2 linked regions of the Yarrowia lipolytica genome follow. The protein of the gene in region 1 purifies or fractionates together with the protein of each later gene. This does not show direct contact. Links are inferred from orthologs where the notes say so. Each region holds a gene or a part of one and is shown in the gene's direction. Other genes may lie near its edges.

Evidence for each region. The genes of interacting proteins can lie anywhere in the genome.
Region 2: the proteins of YALI1_E31947g (region 1) and YALI1_F27556g purify together in Saccharomyces cerevisiae (affinity purification with mass spectrometry; 4 studies listed by BioGRID, with this or other methods). This does not show direct contact. The link is inferred for Yarrowia lipolytica from reciprocal best matches to the Saccharomyces cerevisiae genes PDB1 and PDA1.

Annotation. Positions count from the first base shown.
Region 1 is NC_090774.1:3,193,268-3,196,834, reverse strand, and holds YALI1_E31947g (uncharacterized protein), read left to right. Parts: upstream 1-1,433; coding exon 1,434-1,595; intron 1,596-2,064; coding exon 2,065-3,057; downstream 3,058-3,567. Other genes in the region: YALI1_E31974g (uncharacterized protein), read left to right, coding at 1-196; YALI1_E31919g (uncharacterized protein), read right to left, coding at 3,232-3,567. UniProt on the Saccharomyces cerevisiae protein: The pyruvate dehydrogenase complex catalyzes the overall conversion of pyruvate to acetyl-CoA and CO(2).
Region 2 is NC_090775.1:2,754,264-2,757,772, forward strand, and holds YALI1_F27556g (uncharacterized protein), read left to right. Parts: upstream 1-1,351; coding exon 1,352-1,441; intron 1,442-1,766; coding exon 1,767-2,861; downstream 2,862-3,509. Other genes in the region: YALI1_F27574g (uncharacterized protein), read left to right, coding at 3,234-3,268, 3,347-3,509. UniProt on the Saccharomyces cerevisiae protein: The pyruvate dehydrogenase complex catalyzes the overall conversion of pyruvate to acetyl-CoA and CO(2).

The DNA of each region.
Region 1 (3,567 bases):
GCTTGTGCCCTTTTCACTCTTCATCTCCCTCAGTGCCTCGGACTACGTTCTGCCCAGCACCAACGAAGTCCAGGGCGGTGAGCAGAAGCGACGAGGCGCCTCGCTGGCCAAAATTGTCGTCGATCCTCTTCGAAACCTCTGGTTCAAGATCGGCGAGATGTTTGGCTACAAGCGGGTGGGTCAGATGCCTATTTAAGGCACTCCCACAACAACAATCAGGAGTTGTAGCAAAGCACACCCGCTCAGACAACCCCACTGGTACTCAAAAAACACTTGCTGTTCTAACAGAAGCCCTATAACGAAAGTATTAGCATAGATTCGTGCGGATTTGCGTAGCCGATATGGCCCAACTGTTGTATTTGTACTTGGCTAAAGCTCAACATTCCCAATCGCCGTTGACGTCAGAAATTTCACCCAGCCAAAAGTTGTGCTAATATTAAGTAGTCATGTTGGGCTACTGTAATTATGTGGGAAATAAATGATCGTTGAATGCACACACTGAAAGTCATTACTGTACTGTACAATGTAAAATGTTACTTGGCGATGTACAATTGGGATACATACAGTAGACACTGCACATAGCGCACATTAGATATACAAGTACAGGCACTTAGGGTCCTGTATCTAATATGTTACTGCCCGCTCCTATCTCAACTTGCTGTCTCAACACCAAGCAGTGCCTCTTGTGTGTATGCATGCACGTCAAAACCGCACACTGTTCAATTGGTGGTTTTTGCTCCCTTCCTACAGACTTGTACATATTTACTGCTGTACACCTGCTCTGTACGTACGTCCAGTCCACGCCCCCGTATAGCTGAAGCTCATAGCTATGTTTGCATCTAGATTATTCCGATAGTAGACACCAACAGGGTAGATCCTCGAGGGACGCACCATGTATTATATTGTGTTCACGTGACATGTGCGTCTTGGTTAGTAATTCCAAGCTCCGATAATCGGACTTCTGAGCGTGTTGAGCTTTACGCTCGTCTTGGACCCCCATTTTTGCTACCGCCAATAGCCACTCACTCTCGTGTACACAGCAGTAGGCTCTCCTCTTTAGTCCTCTGTGTGACGTGGGGGACCAACCTAAATTAGTCCGGGTGGACGTGTCACTAGAACGTTGTAATACCAAGGTAGTTGCGCTTGTTTTGACCAAAAATGTGTGACAAAACATTGCCAGTGTATCCAGTCTGGGAATTGAGTCGTTCTATAACCGTCATTTCCACTCCACTTCCGCGCAACGCGCTGCTGAGCACTCGGAAAATTAGCTCGAAAAGTTTTTCCGGGTTATGTGACCCGCCAGCAGGTTAGGCTCTATTCTGTTGGGAAATAACTCTCAACCGCCCCTCCGAGCTAAATCTCTCACTACAAGACTCTTCATCGACAAACGATATCTGAGATCTTTTTCGGTCCCACAGCAACAAGCCACAAACATGTCTGCCATCAAGCAATTGAACCGTCTGGCCGCCACCGCCAAGACCTCTGTTCTCAAGCCCGCCTCCAAGCAGATTCTGCTGCCCACTGCTGGCCAGCAGGCTGCCATCCGAATGATGGGCCAGACCCGAGCTGCCTCAACCGAAGGCGGCGCCACTAACGTGAGTATTTTTTGTGTGAACGACACGATATATACACGACGGCCGTGCGCTTGCGGCTTCGCGATGCGCCCTGAATGGGGCAACTCGAGCGTTGTGTAACGGGTGTTCATCAACAGCAAACAGTGCTTTTCGGACTTAAGACATGGCAGAAGAAGCAAACACGGTTATAGCGAGAGAGATCACAATGGAGTGACGAGCTTTCAGTGATATTTGCCACCAGTCAAATTTTCAGCAACTCCTGAAACGCACCCATTTTATCATCATTGTGACGCGGACATTCAGCCTCATGCTGTAACTGCACTCCGTGTCTGGAGCTGCCGGAGTTATCAAAGCTGTAGGTGCCAATTGTGAAATAGCGATTCGGCGATTCAGCCGTTGATTGCGTTCCTGCTATGTCGCAATTGTACAATGCTCTGTACACTTCCAACAACATCAACATGACAACACCCAAAACAACGTACTAACCTAGATGACTGTCAGAGACGCCCTCAACACCGCACTGCGAGAGGAGATGGACCGAAACGATAATGTTTTCATCATGGGTGAGGAGGTCGGCCAGTACAACGGTGCCTACAAGGTCACCAAGGGCCTTCTCGACAAGTTCGGCGAGAAGCGAGTGGTTGACACCCCTATCACCGAGATGGGTTTCGCCGGTGTTTGTGTCGGTGCCGCCCTGGCCGGTCTCACCCCCGTCTGCGAGTTCATGACCTGGAACTTCGCCATGCAGGCCATTGATCAGATCATCAATTCCGGTGCCAAGACCTACTACATGTCCGGAGGTACCCAGCAGTGCAATGTCACCTTCCGAGGTCCTAACGGTGCCGCCGCTGGTGTTGCTGCCCAACACTCTCAGGATTTCACCGGGTGGTACGGCCAGATTCCCGGTCTCAAGGTCGTCTCTCCCTACAGCTCTGAGGATGCCAAGGGTCTGCTCAAGGCCGCCATCCGAGACCCCAACGTGACTGTTTTCCTCGAGAACGAGATCATGTACGGAGAGTCTTTCCCCATGTCTGAGGAGGCCATGTCCCCCGACTTCGTTCTGCCCCTTGGAAAGGCCAAGATTGAGCGAGAGGGTAAGGATATCACTCTTGTCGGTCACTCCCGAAACGTCGAGACCGCCCTCAAGGCCGCCGACCTCCTCAAGAAGCACCACAACGTCGATGCCGAGGTCATTAACCTGCGAACTGTCAAGCCTCTCGACACTGAGACCATTTTCAACTCCATCAAGAAGACTAACCGACTTGTCTCTGTCGAGGCTGGCTTCCCCGCCTTTGGCATGGGCTCCGAGCTCTGTGGTGTCGTCAACGACTCCTGGGCCTGGGATTACCTTGATGCCCCCATCCAGCGAGTTACCGGAGCTGAGGTTCCCACTCCTTACGCCATTGAGCTTGAGAACTTCGCCTTCCCCACACCCGAGATTGTTGTCAAGGCTGCCAAGGACGCCCTCTACATTGAGGAGTAGAGCGCTCCAGCTACAACATGTAGGTACATACAGTAATTATTGCACGGATAGGAGCTTATGTAGAGTATGATTAACGTATTTAACGCAATTCAACAAGTGACTGAAGCATATCTAATTATTCGTACAAACATTTATCTTTCATATTTTATTCGTCTAATGTATCTATATACAGCCTCAAACTCTCCAGCTTGAAATAGGGAGCGACTCAAGGAAGCGCATTTTCTTGTAAATCCATCCAAAGAACAGCGTGGCTCCAATGGTGATGCACAGCATCGAGGTGATGTAGTAGCCATCGGTTTGGATGGTGCAGATACCTCCACTCTGCTCACACATGTTCTTGGCCTCCTTGGCCACACATGAGAAGGCAGCGAAGGTCTTGCCAGCCTTGGGTGTACAGGTGGCGGATGTGAACCAGTCGACAGCCTTGAGAACAATAATCTTTGGCCAGAGACCGCCCAGGTTGGAAATTGTGTTAAGGGTGGTCATGTAGGTGCCTCCGATGACAGGGTC
Region 2 (3,509 bases), on another chromosome or scaffold:
CCATCTGCTATCTTGGCTTGGGTGTAGAGTCAGGTGACCTTTTTTTGTGGTCGCGAATACTTTCCTCGCTAAAGGATCCCAGGGAGCTCTTGAAGTTTTTCCCAGGCTAAAGTTTTCTCTCTCTTCCTACCAGTACATTTCGGACATACCAATAGCGAGCTGTTGAATGCATTCTTTGAGCTACTGTAGCGAAAAATCTGACGTCGTCGGAGTTAGACAGGAGGGTTTAGAACTGGATGAAACCGTTTCCACCGGAGACTACTGGTACGAACATGGCGAATGGGGTAGAGACAGATGCTCTGATGGACAGACAACCAATATTATCCCAAAACAGTATCGATATACGAAAAGATTTTCCAGACTACTTGCCACAAATGCAGCGAGCTGCACATTGATGCGTTCATGCAAGCTACAAGTACGAGTAATTTGACGTATTGGGCACTTCAAGGCAGTCTTTCGAAATGGCCAATCTGGGAGCTCGCTCACCCTCCGAGATAACTGTTGGGCACACCAGCAGGTCTCAGCAACGGTTGAAAATGGGCTCTCAGTTCAACTAATGATCCAAGAAAATACAAGTACGATGTTGTGATTGGTCGGACTACTTGTAGACGACACTAGCCAAAGCGAAAAGGCACCCACCCTATCTGAATGCTGAGCTGTGTTCAGCCCCAACTCGGAATGCTGAACTGTTGTAAGTCGATAGCCGATAGATATATATCGTAGCAAACACAAGTTGTTGACTCAAACGCATTGACAAGGAAGTACAGATCCGAGAAATTGTGCCGTGTCAACTGCTCCCAGGCACGGTCTCAATTGGGGCTATATCTCTGTATAGAGTAAGCCAGGTTGGCCCCCCACCCACGAGAAATGCACCAACCAGTCGGCGAGCTCAACAGCCGTATGGGAGCCTCTCGTTTGATGTATGTGTGACAGGAGGTGTATATTGGGGCTACTGGGTGAAAATAAAAACGCGAGAGAGAATATAGGGGTTTCAGCGAAATCCCAGTGGAGAGACCGAATCATAGTATTATAACTATGACAGTATCGTGCGCTCTCCTCTTTCATCACTTCTCTCCAATATGCGTACCATCTATCACCACTCTCTTGCTTAGCCTCCCTCCCTCCCTCTCTCTCTGTTAGACCCCCACACGCTCAACAGTACTCAATATCCGCGCAGAAAAATAAGGTTGGTGGGACATTTCTCCGGTGTGAGCGATTAGTGGGTTGTGGTGGTGCCCATAGCAGACCTAAAATTGACTCTCCTCACTTGACAACACACAGATAGAACCTGCAACTTCATCCAAGTGGCGCTTTTCTCAATCCAGTCCGTGTGAAAACAAGACAATTGACCATGCTCACTGCCGCTCGACGATCTACACGGCTCACCAGCCGACTCGGCCACCAGGTCCGAGCATACTCCATCGCTGACGATGCCGACAAGGTGAGTATTTTTTTCGCCCATTGCGTTGGGGTGTCGTGGATTTGGGTTACAGGGAGTTTTTCCGAAACATACGCCTCACGAAACACGACGAAACGGACGACACAGACATGCCATCGACGCGGGACCCCTCGGAAATGATTCTACGGATGCCATTACCCCTGGCGGTGGCGTCTCGTTGACGCTGCTGAGATTGTTAATGAGAAACGGGCCTAGAGAAAATCGAACCTCTAGGAACGCATGCACCCGGAAAAATTATTCCTCACCCACCAGCAATCCATCACAAAACGTGGCAAAACAGCTTCAATCGACCGTATACTAACCCCAGAAATGCACAATCACGCTCAAGGAGGATTCTTACACCACCTACATGCTTGATTCTCCCCCTCCTCTCGAGTTCGAGATGACCAAGGGTGAGCTTCTGCAAATGTACAAGGACATGGTGACCGTCCGACGACTCGAGATGGCTGCTGATGCCCTCTACAAGGCCAAGAAGATCCGAGGTTTCTGCCATCTGTCTACTGGTCAGGAGGCTGTTGCCGTCGGTATCGAGAAGGCCATCGACCACGACGATTCTGTCATCACCGCCTACCGATGCCACGGTTTCGCCTACATGCGAGGTGCCTCTGTCCGAGCAATCATCGCCGAGCTGCTCGGAAAGCGAACCGGTGTCTCCTACGGTAAGGGTGGATCCATGCACATGTTCACCGAGGGTTTCTACGGAGGAAACGGTATTGTCGGAGCCCAGGTCCCCGTCGGAGCTGGTCTCGCCTTCGCCCACAAGTACCTCGAGCAGACCGGAAAGGCCACCTTTGCCCTGTACGGTGACGGTGCTTCCAACCAGGGTCAGATCTTCGAGGCCTACAACATGGCCAAGCTCTGGGACCTCCCCTGCATCTTTGCATGCGAGAACAACAAGTACGGAATGGGTACCGCTGCTGCTCGATCCTCTGCCCTGACGCAGTACTACAAGCGAGGTCAGTACATTCCCGGTCTCAAGGTTAACGGAATGGACATTCTGTCCGTCTACCAGGGAGCCAAGTTCGCCAAGGAGTGGACCACACACGGCAAGGGTCCCCTCGTCATGGAGTTCGAGACCTACCGATACGGTGGTCACTCCATGTCCGATCCCGGAACCACCTACCGAACCCGAGAGGAGATCCAGTACATGCGATCCCACAACGATCCTATTTCTGGTCTCAAGGCCCACATCCTGGAGCTTAACTTCGCCACTGAGGACGAGCTTAAGTCTGTGGACAAGGCTGCTCGAGCTATGGTTGACAAGGAGGTTGCCCTTGCTGAGTCCGACCCTGCTCCCGAGGCTACTGCCAAGGTTCTGTTTGAGGATATCTACGTTCCCGGCACCGAGCCTCCTGTGATCCGAGGCCGAATCCCTTCCGAGGACTACTACTTTAAGAACTAAGTAGAGTAGAATGTAATTACTAATGTACGAGCCGTCGTTTTCTGAGAATGAGTAGAAAGCAGGAGTACAGTACATAGATTGGGTGAGCTTGAAGTGATTGTGGAAAATGTTGCGAGAGAAACATGGTGAATAGTAAGTGAGAAAGAATTTATCCCATTTATTTTATCATTTTTTGCCCTTTTGAAGGCACGCACTCGGGCTAGTACAAGCATCTGTCGTAGAATCTGCAGTATATTCTACTTGTAAATTGACCCTGCTGCACTGTGGGCTCACCACCCAATTTTAACATCTTGTTATGCATATGGTTCAGAAAATAAGCACATCTACGCTGAAATAAATCCTTCACGCAACACCCACGACACCAAGCACATCATGTCGAACAACAATGACATGTCTCGTTACAAATAGTGAGTATTAGAGGGGATGGTGTGATATGACTCGGCTTTGTGTGACAAACGCCATTCTGGATCACTTACTAACTACAGCGAGGAGATGTCCTCTATTGTGGTGCAGGCCGATAGAAGGCACATCAACAGAGAGAGTGGCGAAGACAAGGCTATTCCCGAGTCTTTAGTGGGAAAGATCAACGTTAAGGATATGGGATCTGGTGTGCGACGGGAGGTTCCGGATGCTGGGGTTCGTCAACAG